Linked DNA regions of Stegostoma tigrinum. The protein of the gene in region 1 purifies or fractionates together with the protein of each later gene. This does not show direct contact. Links are inferred from orthologs where the notes say so. Each region holds a gene or a part of one and is shown on either strand. Other genes may lie near its edges.

The links.
Region 2: the proteins of slc6a15 (region 1) and klhl36 purify together in Homo sapiens (co-immunoprecipitation; 3 studies listed by BioGRID and IntAct, counting the BioPlex papers as one, with this or other methods). This does not show direct contact. The link is inferred for Stegostoma tigrinum from reciprocal best matches to the Homo sapiens genes SLC6A15 and KLHL36.

What each region holds. Positions count from the first base shown.
Region 1 is NC_081371.1:41,943,400-41,950,770, forward strand, and holds the start of slc6a15 (sodium-dependent neutral amino acid transporter B(0)AT2), read right to left. Parts: upstream 3,170-7,371; 5' UTR 3,030-3,169; intron 1-3,029.
Region 2 is NC_081369.1:49,020,903-49,028,638, reverse strand, and holds the start of klhl36 (kelch-like protein 36), read right to left. Parts: upstream 3,150-7,736; 5' UTR 3,066-3,149; coding exon of another isoform or gene 3,033-3,065; intron 2,813-3,032; exon of another isoform or gene 2,408-2,812; intron 1,283-2,407; 5' UTR 1,263-1,282; coding exon 1,203-1,262; intron 1-1,202.

The DNA of each region.
Region 1 (7,371 bases):
GCATCACACAACCAGCCCAGCTCTTCCCCTCCACCCACTGCATCCCAAAACCAGTCCAACCTGTCTCTGCCTCCCTAACCTGTTCTTCCTCTCACCCATCCTTTCCTCCCACCCGAAGCCGCACCTCCATCTCCTACCTACTAACCTCATCCCATCTCCTTGACCTGTCCGTCTTCCCTGGACTGACCTATCCCCTCCCTACCTCTCCACCTATCTTCTTTTCTCTCCTTCTTCGGTCCGCCTCCCCCTCTCTCCCTATTTATTCCAGAACCCTCACCCCCATCCCCCTCTCTGATGAAAGGTCTAGGCCCGAAACGTCAGCTTTTGTGCTCCTGAGATGCTGCTTGGCCTGCTGTGTTCATCCAGCCTCACATTTTATTATCTTGGAATTCTCCAGCATCTGCAGTTCCCATTGTCACTGCTCACCACAATTATCTTGTTCGTAGTTCATTTGGTGTATGGAATCTTTACCACAGAGGGCTGTTGAGGCTGAGTCATTTTGCATATTCAAGGCTGAGGTAGATTTTTAATCAATAAAGGAATCAAGGGTTATAGGGAAATGGATATGGAGTTGGGGATTTTCAGATCAGCCATGATCTCATTGAATGGTGGAACAGACTCAATGGGCTGAATGGTTTAATTCTACTCCACCGTCTTATGGTCAAATATACATGTATATCTGAAAAGGAGAAAGTTGCATGTCTATGAAGAAACTCCAAGTGGATCATAAGAAATGGACAGCACTTCACAAATTCTTTTTGATCCACCATTTCTGCACAGCAGCATTCAGCAGAAAACATGGTCCACCAGTACTTCATACAATAACATCATTTATGAAGGATTGGTGTGTAGTTTAAAACACAGAGAAATGCTACCCCAGCCCATCAGTCATCACAATAAAATAAAAATATATGAAGTGAATTTCCACTGGGGTATCAGGATTACTTAGTTATAGTTTCTGGAGCATTCCCCATCAAGGAAATTTCCAGCAATATTAGACTTCAACAACTGATTTTATTTGTGGATAGAGTTTGTGTCGAAAAAGTCTATCAGTTGTATCAATATTTGATGAATTAAGGGGTGTTAGATATCATCAGAATGTACATGTTACAGGGAGGGTTAATCGACCTGTATGTAGCACAATCACTTAACCATAATTATCACTAGGACTCAAATTCCTAAAATACAGAGGTATTTGTAAATCTGTATTAGAAAGAAGTTGGGTGAATTAATGATTGGCAGGCTTCTTAATGTTTGTGCATTGCAATCGTCACACAATGCTACATTGAGATCTCATCTGAAAACTTGCATAAATGCCAAATCAATCGCAGCCAACGCCAAAATGTTTCGTATTAACATCTGAGAAGTCAGCGGGGCCATGCAAATGTGGGATTGGCCGTTCGAGATGGCGCTTTATGGCTTTAAGGCAGAACATTGCAACTTAATACATAAACTGAGGAAGGGTCACTGGACCCGAAATGTTAACTCTGTTTTCTCCTCCAATGCTGCTAGACCTGCTGAGCTTTTCCAGCAACTTTCTTTTTGTTGCAACATAATATTCCCAACTTGTCTCTTATTTAAGTAAAAAAGATCAGTAATCAAAATATCCAGAAAGACGACTCCACAATTTCAGATGATTTATATTTTTACCTCAGCTACCTCTTTGGAGAGGAATCAAACAAATTACTCCTCAATGTCCATCAAGCTGGCCCCAGGAAATCAATAGCCCCCGCCACAGCAATCTGACTCAAAGGAGCCAACCCACCTCCGCATTATACCAGCTGACTGGTAAAACATTTTGTGGGCATTCTGTCAGTGTGCAGAATTAAAATGAAATGCGAAACGCACACGCTGGCAGGTATTAGACTGAGCTACTCGATAATTCCTGTTGCATCACTCTGACATAACCTGGGGTGAATCATTTTCTTTAATAAGCCGGTAACAAGATTGACGCTCGCGTTTCCCCACAGTCACGGGATGCTGAAAGACAAAGGTGCAGCTGGATCAGTAACATCGTGTCCTTCAGCCGCCCCCCGACAGCAAGCTGCGTCTCCCCATCACAACCTCTTCTATATCAACACTTGCAACATCCCGTCTGAGACCATCATCCTCAACAAGGGCTGGGTTCCATCCTCTCAACCTCGCGTCTGCCACACAGAAATAAGGCAGTTATGGGGAGTCATGTCATTGTCAGTAACATTCCCTCTGTATCAAATATGAAATGAGACGAAGCCAATGTGAAACCATTTCGGATCTTATCCATAAAACCTGAGAGGCGTGGGTCAAGCAAACTAAAAGGAGGGGCTTGGGATGGGGTCGCAGGTTACACTATTAAATGACCTTGCAATGAAACTTGACGAATACAGACTGCAGCAGACCAAACGTAGCGCAGACTGCAGCATCAGACTGCGTTATATCGTAGATCGAGAAATAAACTCCTGTCCAGTCGCTGGGCTTGTGTTTATGTTTACGTTCGAAGCATTTCCATGTGTGTGTGTGTGTGTGTGTGTTTGCATTCGTGTCTGCTGGTGTCTGAATGTCTATGTATATGTTATTGTATTTGCGGCACACAGACGCAGTGGGCTGAGCAGACACAGCCCGCTTGCTGAAATTTGCATACAAACCCAAACAGACTCATCCCATTCTCTCTCCGGCAGGCTGCACCGAATCAACTCCGCCAAGTTACCATCCTTGGCGGGGGCCAAATAAAATCAAAGAACCGATTTCGCCGGCCTCTGTTCTGCCTCCGTCTACAACATCAATTGCTTTTGGCAATGCAATGTGAGCAGGGGCTGCAACACGATGAATGAAATACTCCCGAGCCGAGCAAACGTCTCCGCGTATCATTTTCTTCACAATTCTCAAACCCATGGATCTATTTCCAATAGATTTACCCTACCTTCACTGCATCATATCCAAATTACAAGTCGTTGTAAATTAGAAGTCGTTCCGAATTACAATTGCGTTTTTTTAAACAAAGATAAACACAATTTTGCGGCTATGATTTCTAATTCTACGCATCATGTTACCTTTTTGCAACGGAAGTGAAATGAATGAAGGCTCTAGGTCCTGGGGCAGGCTCGGTGTTAGCGTGCTGAGGGACTGAAGAACTGGTTTTCATATGATGAGAGACTCGAATGTTTCTAACAGAGAGCCACACCTTCACTGAACACCCACCCTCCAGTGACGACAGTCAATAACATAAACCATTCATTTAAAGGGGAATGTTTTATTTATTGACTTCTAATGAAGTTCCCTCTTCAGCCCGCTTTTCAATTTCGCTAAAAGAGATTTTATTTAAATTTATGCAATTGACACCTCCCTGAGTTTAGTGCTGTCCGTTTGAAGATGTAGCCAAAGGCCCCCAAACTGGAGGGGATTAAAATTGCAGTGCAGGAATATACAGTGTGCTGCCTCATCTACTTTGGGTGAAATCGAAGGACCTACTCATCCTCCTAAAACAGTTCTGCCGGGGAGCAGGTCCCTTCAATATCAGTAAAACTCTTTAATTTCACCTATACATTGTCTGTATACAGTACTTGGGCAACTGTAACCATTTCCGTGTTGAAATGACATTTCTTTTACGGTTTGGCGACTTCAAACTCTGAAAGGGGGAGTTGACACTGAAAATAAGAAAAAAAAGATAGCGAATTTTCCAATGACTAATACAATGCATCTGATTGCTGTCGTTTATAGAGTGAGAAGCGGAATGAGACTGATCAGGCAGCATCACGGTCACCCTCATGTTATAGATCCGTCTTCCCTTTTGTCGGCCTGTTCCCAGAGCTTGCTGTCAGGTTGTGCTTCAGTTATTAGCCGTCAGGGATGTTCACTTTGCTAATGCAGCCAGATTTGCCGTTAAAGTCCAGAGCATCGTGGCAGGAAAACAGACTATGACATTTACCTCACTGCCTCATTCGGAGGAGGCACAGGGCATTTTTGTGAAATTGGTCAATTAGCTGTGTCGTCTTCAAAGACATAACCCTAACATTGCCTTTCCCAGGGACCGTGCAGCCCAAGGGGATCAATGTGGACTTCACAAGCTTCAAAATCTCCGCTCCCGCGACCACAGCCCAGCCAGTCCCCACCTCCCTAACCATTCCTCCCAACTGTCCCCGCCTCCCAACTCAAGCCCCGTCCCCGTCTCCTACCCACTAACCTCATCCCGCCTCCTTGACCTATCCGTCCTCCCTGGACCGACCTATCCCCACCCTAGCTCCCCACGTACACTCATCGTTACGAGCTCCATTCCCACTTCTTTGACCTGTCTACCTCCTCTCCACCTATCTTCTCCTTTATCCATCTTCAATCCGCCTCCCCCTCTCTATTTAGTTCAGAATCCCCTTCCCCTCCCCCATTTTTGAAGAAGGGTCTAGAAGGTTGGCTTTCCTGCTCCACTGATGCTGCTTGGCCTGCTGTGTTCATCCAGCTTCATAGCGTGTTATCTCTTTCCCAGGGCATCTCGATTTATAGAATTTGATAAATCTCCAGCATCCTAATCCTGAACTATAAATCAGAACGTTACCAGTACATTGTCAGACAAGAGAACCTGCTACCAAGCTGAGGGAACATAATGGATGAGAATTACTGGACTATTATACAGCGAGGTAGTGTTTTAGGGACTAGGTTCAAATTGTGCCATGGCAGATGGTGGAATTTGAATTCAATAAAAATCTGGAACTAAGCGTCTACTGATAACCATTGTCAATTGTTCATTTGGTTTGAAAAATTCATTTGGTTCATCACCATCTTTTAGGGAAGGAAACTGCCATCATACCTGCTCTGGTCTACATGTGACTCCAGACCCACAGCAATGTCGTTGACTCTTAACTGGCCTCTGAAATGGCCTAACAGGTCATTCCCTTGTATCAACTGCTAGAAAGAGAAAATGAATGAAAATGGACTACCTGGCCCATGGACTGCAGCAGCTCAGGAAGGGAGCACAAAGGCAACTAGTACTGGCAACAAATGCTTGCTCAGCCAGTGATGTCAATGTCCCATGAGTGAATATATATCTTTAAAAAATCAGTCTTTTCATGCAACTATTTACAAAAAATTCAATCCTGATTTTTAACTGACAAAGTCACCATCGTCCCATAGGGCTGCTGTCTCAAAGAGAAAGACAACCATTGGTGGTTTCACCACACCTCAGGCATGGGTGAGGGTTTAGAGAAGGGTTGAGAAACTGGAACCTTCATAGTAACTTCAGCTGGTATGGGAATGGAACCTGTACTGTTGGCAACATTGCATTGGCACACAGAACTCCACTGTTAAACAAGTACTGTCGATTGTCACACATCCTGATAGAGGTCACTCAGAAACTTCAAAGATGCCTAATGCTTTAGTGGCATCATTCTGTCCATACTGTCTGATCAGAAGTTACATGTTGTATTTTTTGTTAAGTCAGATTGTTCCTTTTAGCACACCCTGAAACCTTTAGATTCCTTGTGCTTTGTGTCATGTCACATTTCAAGTCCTGATATTTTCCAACTCAGCTATATGACTCTGAGTTGTTTTACAATGGAGAGGATTTTGTGTCTAGCAACCTCTAAGAGGAAAGAACAGCATAATTAAATTTGGTGATGGCATAACCATTTTTCTTTTCAGTTACTATGTGGATTTCTTACAACCGAAGCAGTAGCTGAAAAATAATAATGAATAAACCATACAAATGTTTTAAAAGGGCAGATTCTTTCCAACTCACCAAAGGAATATTTACATCCTCAATTGCCAGCTGAAAGTAGAAGCCAATTATGACCATTACTTTCTCTTTATTTGGTGCCATATGCCAGATGTTGGTACATTGTGTGCTACCTTCTGCAGAATGAATAAATAATGTCAATTGGCTGCTGCAATCTCCAGATCCTACACTCACAATCAGAATTAATGATGGAAATAATGGGAAGTATTTAGCTGGATATTGCTCACATTAATAACAGCATGTGAGACACAAAATGTTGTCAAGTGACGTTATACACGTGGCAAGGAGTCTGATGTTATTTTGGCTACTTTAAAAAAGAAATCCTTGACTGCTGTGATTATAGAATGCTATTTTGCATTCCTGCAATTTATTAGCTATCTTACCATTCATCTTTAAATACTCTTGCCTTTGATCTATGAAGTTATTAAACTTCTTCCACCATTTTAAGAGAGTCCTCCAGGTATATGAACTGATCACTCTCAGCCACTTTTATCGCTTTCTCATGTCGTTTACTGTGAGGTGTGATGCTTATTTCCTGGAAATCTAACAATGAAGTCACCAATTTCATTCTCCAGTTCCTTGGCTCAAGTTGCTTAGTCCTTTTTCTAAGAATTGGCTTAGCCTTTTAGATCCATGAAGCTCTTTTAAGCACAGAGGTCTTGCCCTTAGTAGCTGAACATAGAAACTGTCAGAAATTCTCCAATTTATTTGACATAAATTCCACTCTACCACAGTTACAGGAGTGAATGAGCCCCCAGGAATTTCCAGGCAAACATTTCCAACCGTTTATTGTAGCCAACATTTATCCTTCAAATATTATTCACCAAACAGATTAAAAAGTCATTTATTTTCTTTTCTGCGCCTTTCTGTGAATAAATTGGTTGATGCATTTCCTAATGTAATAACAGTGACCACACTTCAAAACTAGTTCAAGGTTATGAAGTGCTTTAAGCTGTCATGAAATACAATATAGTCATACAGTTCCCTTCTTTCCCATTGACGTATCAATTACATTTTCTGAATATTTCTTTTTATTCCGAAACTATGTCTGTGCTCTTTCTTTATTAACTCTTTTATCAAGGCATCTTGTCTAACTAAACCAGCTTTCTGTTTCTATCAGGTTCATGCTTGAGAGCTTTATTTTCAAATTTGTCAGGCTGCCAGTCTTTCATGAGCAATCCCAGGCTACTCTTTATCATCCTTTTCTTCATCTTGCCCGTTCGATGCCTCATACTTCTAGTCATCCTGTATAGTCCATGCGCACTTTGCTGTTTTTCACCTACAGTGATTCACTGATCAAATTTCCACCATTCGTTTTTTGAAGTTGTATATGTGCAGTGCAATTTCTTCAGAAACATGGATTTTATTCTGCAACTTCTGAGAGATTCAATGGCTCTCATCCTTCAGCTTTTCACCAATAACGATTCTCTAACTAACTGCATCGCTGAGATTCCTGTACATATAGGATAGCTATACTGCTGATGGCAAAAAGCACAAATATATGAAATCAATCAATGAAATTAACAATGATGAGAAACTGAAGAATGTGACAGATGGTTAGTGAGAAACCGTGTGATGAGGGAAATCAGGACATTTGAAATGTGACACTGAACTACAAACAAGTGTTTGATTGGTGACAAAAATACCTGTGTAATTTTAGTTAAATCAAT
Region 2 (7,736 bases), on another chromosome or scaffold:
AAACAAAAAACACACCTATCATCAGAAAATATATCACTCAGACAGCAAATCAGAGAAGACAGGCAACAGCATTTTCTCCATGATAATCAGCACCAGCATATTGAGCCCCTTACTATACCTCCTGTATGCTCATGACTGCGGGCCAAATTTCATCTGAACTCCAGCTACACGTTCACTGACGACACCACAATTGTAGACCAGATATCAAACACTGAGGAGGCAATACAGGAATCAGAGGGAGAGCTTGGTGTTGTTGTGTGGTGTAGAGGTAACAATCTCTCCCTAAACATCACCAAAACGAAAGAGCCAATCATCGACTGCAGGAAGCAAGGAGGATGGCACGCCCTCATCTACATCGATGGAGCCGAAGTGGTGATGGGCGAGAGTATCAAATTCCCAACAGTGGCGATCAACAATCCTGTCCTGGGCCACCGACTTTGATGTAACAGTCAAAAAGTTACAACACCTCTTCTTCCTCAGGATATCAAAATTCAGCATGTCCATAAGGACAGTCACCAATTTCTACGGATGCACCAAAGAAAGCACTATCAGCATTCATCATGGCTTGGTATGGCAACTGCTCTGCCCAGGACCATTGGAAACCACAAAGAATTGCGAACACTGTCCAGGCCATCACTCAAGCCAACCTTCCATTCATTGACTGCATCTACACTTCTCGCTGCCTTGGGCAGGCAGCCAACCTCTCCCACCCCGGTTATAATCTCCTCCAACCTCTTCTGTCAGGCAAAATATGCAAAAGCTTAAAGCATATGTACCAATAGATTCAAGTACAGCTTCTTCCCCACTGTTACGAGACTTCTGAATGGACCTCTCAAATTTCAAATCTAATGTTGATCTTGCTTTTTGTGCACCTTCTTTGCAGCTGTAACTTTGAACAGGGCGAGACATACAATCAGCCTATGATCTCTGTATGGTATGATCTATCTGTACTGTAGGCAAAACAAAACTTTACACTGTACCCAAGTACATGTGACAATAACAATTCAAATCAAAATTAAACCCATGGTCCCCGAGGAAATCTCAATAAGCTTTGTTGAGTAAGCAAACTATAAAATGTTTCTTGCTGGAGCCATATAGATGAGGAAACATTTCAACAAGTATAATATTATACAATTCAAGAATTCTCTCATTACACACTAACAATATCAGATGCTCATTTTCATGAATGATATTACACTAACCTTTGACGATTCACTGATCTTATGAGGACGAGAGACCCTTGACTGTTTTGTCCCCTCCATTGTAACTTTCCTGATGACGCCTGACCAAAAAAAATCATTAATTGATCAGTTTTTCTTATGGTAAATCTCTGCTGGGCTGTACGTGTTGCTTTGAAACAAAATGTTTTCCGAGACATTTTATTGCTTTAATTTCAGCCCCCTGCTGGCCACTCCTAATAATTTCACAAATAAAGCCTTTTCTGTTCATTAACACATCCAAACAGGTTGACGAGACACATCTCCCTGGTCATCACATCCAGAGATGAGATTTCTATCCCAGAACATTACCCCCTAGATCAATCAAATCTTTACTTACTAAACTTGCCTAAGCTTTATGGAATCAGTAATTCCAGTAAGATACTCTCTTTTTGTTACTGGGTAGAAATGGCTAATGTACGTGAAAGAACCAGGTATCAAAATCACATAATCAGATGAATATGGTACAGGGAGGTAAAGAGACGAATGTTTGTTTTTGTGGTATTGATAGAGGAAAACTCAAGGTCTTCTTGGAAACTTGTGGGATCTTCTGCTCCATTTCAGTGCAGATAGGGCCTTGGTTTCACATCATATCAGAAACACCATTTTTGGCGGTTATGCCCTCAGTCAGTACTGCATGAGTGCATCAGCCCAGATTACATGCCTTCATCTCTAAACTAGGGCTTGAACAAACAAGCTTGAGGCTCAAGATGTGTGAACTAAATCAGACAAATGAAACCCCCAGTGAAGAAAAGTAAATCCTTATTAAAACCTTAGTCAGGATTTTCTAAACAAAGGAGTTAGAGAAGAAGGAATTTCAAATATCAGTTATTTAATGAAAAGAACAAGGCCACAGAAGTCCACTGTTTAAAACAAAGTAACGTTTTTGACTTTGAGAGGCAAACAAAGCAATACCATCTCAGGTAATGCCTATCCTCTAAAATCTAGAATTAACACAAATCAAACATGAATAAACAAATTGTGATCAGTTATAAATGAGGAACTACATCTTAAACACCAGGTATAAAGGATTGCCTTGCAGTTTAGCTTGACTGTCCACTCAGCACATATGAAAACCTCAGTCACAAATTCCCACAAAGAATTTCAGCTCATCATTTTCTGGGATGTAGCCAGATCGCTAGCTATCAAAATTGCACAACCAGCTTCACAAAAACTGTACATGTACATACCTGCCTATCCACAATTTCTGCATCTCACTTTTGCCTTCTTCAGCCTGTCTGAACTGTACCGAAAGGATTATCTGACCTGTGGTGGCTCAATATCCTTTTATATGGTTGCAACTAGTTTCAGTCTCCTAGAAGTTCCTAAACTAATTTCAGTCTTAATTTCTTTAGAAACTGGAGTAGTAAGACTTTTCAATTAGGCTATGTTTAAAAAAAAAGTTCTGAAAGCAAGGAATCCATCACAACTAGAACCATGCCTGCCTAAATGCATAGTAGAACAGTGGAAACAGGTTGGCGGGGGGCGGTGGTTGTGAGAAGTGGAGGAATCGGGTTGGGGGAAGGAGGGATAGGGAGAAAGAGGTGGAGAGATGAGAGATGAGATGGGGAGGGGGAGCAGGGGTTGAGGGTGGTAAGGAGGGGAGGGGGGAGAGGAGGAGGAGGAGGAAGAAGGGGAAGGGGGGTGGGGGTAGGGGAAAGTATAGGAGGAGGGGACAGGGGGGAGGGGAAGAGGATGGATCCCAGCACTTGCATCTGCGCATGCGCTTTATGGTCCATGGCACCGTCCATCACAAACACTCCAAAATAAAATAGCAAAGGTGCAAAGAAACACAACAGATCCAACCACCATTACCAGGCTGAGGTGACTGTTTGTCTCTCCGAGCATTCACTCACTCTCACAACCACCCGGCCATTATCGGCGACCGGCATCGCTTCGCTCAACCTTCACAGTCAGCCCAGAGCGGAAGGCCGCACGTGTAATTTCATTGGTGGTTACAGCGAACCAATAGGGAAGCGAATCTGGGGAACAAAGCGCCAATCAGACAAGGGTTGTCGGCGGTACGGTCCCGCCTACCGTTGCCACAGCAACGCTTAAAGCTGTAACCACGCCCCCATGAAACCACGTGGTGCGGTACTCCTGCAATTGACCCAAGGGCAAGTCCTACCTGTTTCAAGGGTATTTACAACATCACTGAGCAGGTTAATTGCGAATATCCCAATAAGATTGTAAATATTTTAAAGGCATTGGAATGTGTGCTAAAAACTGGGAAAAAAAGTAGGATTGGTCTTACCAGAACTTTGACTTAGGTAGAGATAATAAGACTGCCGATGCTGCAGTTAGAGATAACAGTGTTTAGCCGGAGGAACACAGCAGGCCAGGCAGCATCAGAGGTGTAGGAAAGTTCTTCAGTGACCTTCTTCAGAGGTCCTGGCCAGAAACGTCAACCTTCCTGCTCATCTGATGCTGCCTGGCCTGCTGTGTTCATCCAGCTCCACACTGTGTTATCATTGACTTAAATAGGTTGTGAGCCAAAACAACCTAACAAGTAGGAATTAATTGTTCAAGAAGATCATCTGATCCAACTGTCGCCATAACGACACATTCTTTTCTGACATGTAACACTTGATTCCTGTGTCAACCAAAACTCTATCTAGCAGGTGTGAGCTAGTATCCACTGCAGTCTGAATTCCATGAACAGTAACTCTCTGAAAGAAGAAATCCCTCATCTCTGCTTTAAATGGGAGACCCCTTGCTTTTAAACTGTGCCCTATAGTTCTAGCCTCCCGCAAAAGAAATAAACATCCTCACGGTGTGCAACCTGTCAAAGTGTTATATGTTTCAACTATAACACCTTTCTGTCTTCTTAACGTCAATGAATATATGCCCAATGTGTTCAACTTTTCCTCCTAAGAAGAATCAGTCAAATAAACCTTCACTGAACTGCTTCCAATGTAACTATATCTTTGGGTTCCACAGAAGAGCAATTGTGTAACTATGAACAGACAGTGCTGGAGAAACTCAGCAGGTCCAGCACCATCTGTGAAGAGAAGCAGAATTGATGTTTTGAGTCTGTACTGACTTCTTCAGAAGCTGGAGTCATGTTGAACCCAAAACGTTAACCCTTTTTCTCTGTCTACAAAAGCTGTCAGACCTGCTCAGTTTCTCTGGTATTTTGAATTTTTGGTTTAAATTTCCAGCATCTGCAATATTTTGCTTTAAAACAAGTATATCCTTCTTTCTTAAATAAGGAAGTCAAAATTGTAAACAGGACTAAATGTCTCAAAAGTACATCATACGCTTGTCAGTTAGCTGTGTGGGCTGGATGGCTGGTTTGTGATGCCAATATTGTGGATTAAAGGCCTTCAATGTAAGGACTCTCTTTCTCAACCTGCCGGAACCATGTGACTCTCAGGTGAAAGCAGCACCAAATAAAAACTGAAAGAACTGCAGATGCTGTAAATCATGAACAAAAACAGAAGTTTCTGGAAAAGCTCAGCAGATCTGACAGCATCTGTGAATTAAAAATTAGAGTTAATGTTTTGGGTCCGGTGATTCTTCCCCAGAACTGATGGGAGCTGGGAAAACGTCGATTTGTATGTAGAAAGTAGGGAGGGTGATGGAGTGGGGAGTAAACGATAGGATAAAGGTTTAAGCCTGAAGAGAGAGAAGAGCAGTGGAATAGACAAAAGAGTTGATAACGATCTGGCTATGAGGGTGAATAACTGTTAATGGGGATTGTTAGTGACTAACAAGAGGTGGTGTGTAATGGAGGCTCTTTGAGAACAAGGTCTGGTGTGCAGGGTAAGGGGCTACGACATGGGAGAGTTAGGCCCTACAATTATTGAACTCAATTTTGCATCCGGGGGGCTGCAGGGTCCTCAAATGGAAAGTGACGTGTTGTTCTTCCAGCTGGCATTGAGCTCCATCGGAACACTGCAGCAAGTCAGAGACAGAGATGTTGGCCAAGGAACAGGACGGTGTTCAAGTGGAACAGACACAGAGAGCCCTAGGACCCTCCTGGTGGGGAATGGATGTGTAAAGGAATGGCACATCCATGATAAAGCGGAGGCTGCTGAAACCTGCAAACTGGAAGTTTTGAAACTTGTGTAAAGTGTCAGAGGAATTACAGATGTACATGGGCTGGGATTGGACCAGGGAGAGAAGACTGAGTCAAGGTAGGAAGAAATGAGTTATAGCAATAAAGCCCAGTGACTCCCACAGCTACCTGGACGATACATCCTCCTAACCTGCTTCCTGTAAAGACTCCATCCCATTCTCTCAGTTCCTCTGTCCCTGTTGCATATGTTCACATGAGACCAACTTCAACAAGGGAGCCTCCAAAATGTCGACCTTCTTCCTCAACTGAGGATTTTCCAGCACCATTGTTGACAAGGCCCTCAACCCCGTCCAACCCAGCTCCCGCACTTCTGCCCTCACCCCATCTCGCCTCTCCCGCAACAGTGATAGAGTTCCCTTGTCCTTACCTACCATCCCACCAGCATCCACACCCAGAAGATCATCAGGCCCATTCCTGCCACCTCCAGCAAGATGCCACCACCAGGCACATATTCCCCTCCCCTCCTTTGACCATCTTCTGCAGGGACTGTTCGCTCTGGGATGCCCTAGTCCACTCTTCCTAAACACCCAACACTACCACACCCCCCCCCACCACAAGCACCCCCCCAACAGCCCCACAGTATCTTTCCCTGCAAACAGCAAAGGTGTAACACCTGCACATTTACCTCCTCCCACACCACTATCCAAGGACCCAAACATACCTTTAAGGTGAAGCAACACTTCACCTGCACTTCCCAGAATCTAGTGTACTGCATTCGCCGCTCACAGTGTGGTCTCCCTACATTGCGGTAAGAAAGTGTAGACTGGTTGACTGCTTTGCAGAACATTTACGTCCTGCTTTCAAAAAAGAGACTGAGTATAGAATCGAAAGTTGTTCTGAGGTACATTACATAGATTGAAATTTGAGTTGACTGTTGCAAAGACATTTCTGGGAGTGTAGCATTGTCAATTTAAAAATCTTTCATCGAGGCTAAACTGAGAGAGTAAGCAGACAAGTTGAAGGTAGAATTAAAAGCAGGATCATTTAAGGATGCAATGATTGAACAAATAATTAGCACTTCGAACTAAAAGGAGGGAAACCTGGAATTAAATTTATCAAGATTTAGATAGAAATGAACCTTGAATTAGGAGAAAAAGAGGAGAATAGAAAAATGGAATGTGTAGATCATGGAAAGTGGGAAGAAGGAAAGAAAAAAAATACAACTAGAAACAAGAAAGCTTGAATTCGAAAGTGAGGAGAAAGATAAACAAAGAGAAATGGAAAGAGTGGAGAAAACGATTGATGGAGTAATGGAATTGAAAAAGCTTGAACTCAAAGGGAAGTCAGACAGAGTTTAGTGTAAAGGAAAAAGGAAGAGGTATTAGTATAGGAGTTAATTCTGACTCTAATGAGGGCTTTGCTTTACCTTGAAATTTGCAATACTGCCTAAATTTACAGGACATGGAGTTTGAAGACATTACATACCATTTGAAAAGATAGTTGAAGTTGAACTCACCAATAGATGTTTGGACTTTACTCAAAGTGTCCTGATTGGTGCAAATATGAATGTCTTCTTTATCTGAAGAACAATCCGTAACTACTAAATTGTTAAAAGAGTAATACTCTATTATTATGAGCTTCTCCATGAAGCCAAATAATTAATACTTAGGACTAACCTAATCAGGCATTTCTAGAATGTACGAGAGAAAAATAAACACTCTGGGAATCATTGGTTTCAATCACTGAACTCAGAGAGGAAAATGACATTCTAAGGGAAATTTTGATATAGAAGAATTCTGAAGTATTATTTGAAAACCCTTAACGCTTATCAAGATGAGCAACAAGTATTAAAGATGCTAGAAGTTTCAGTTCTTGTGGACACCTATAATACCTCAGAGAAGCAGCTGTAGTGGTAAAATGGTCAAAGGGGAGTCAATGAAGAAATTGGAGGAATGGAAAATCTGGGATGGAAATGTTTTAGTGGACACACACAAATACACAAAATGGAAAAAAAAAGAGAAAGGCCAGAACCACAAATGATAGAAAGAAAATAATTTGTTTCCAGTGTAATAAGATGCTACATAATAAATCTAATTACTGGAAGTTAATGGGAGACTTATTGCAGTAGTAGCAACACCAAGGGAATCCTCAGAAAGGGGATGTATCAATAAATTGAATCAGTCTTATATTTGTAGCAGGTAGAGATGGAGAGTGTTCTCTCTGACAGGGCAAGGGAGATGTCTCAGAAATGTCAAAAAAAGTTCCTCAATTAGTGATAAAGAAAATCAGACTATTGGAACGTTCTTAACATTTTATTTTAAATGGTGATGTATTTCCTCATGCTTCTATTCGAAGAGGTAAACTAATCATGATACTAACATACACAGAGCAAGTCCATTGTTAATGCTTGGTGATGATATAACCGATCCTCCAGTCTGGCTAATGATGGAAAAAAAGTTGAGTGAAGGTATATGTGGAGGCTACAAACCAGTCCCACT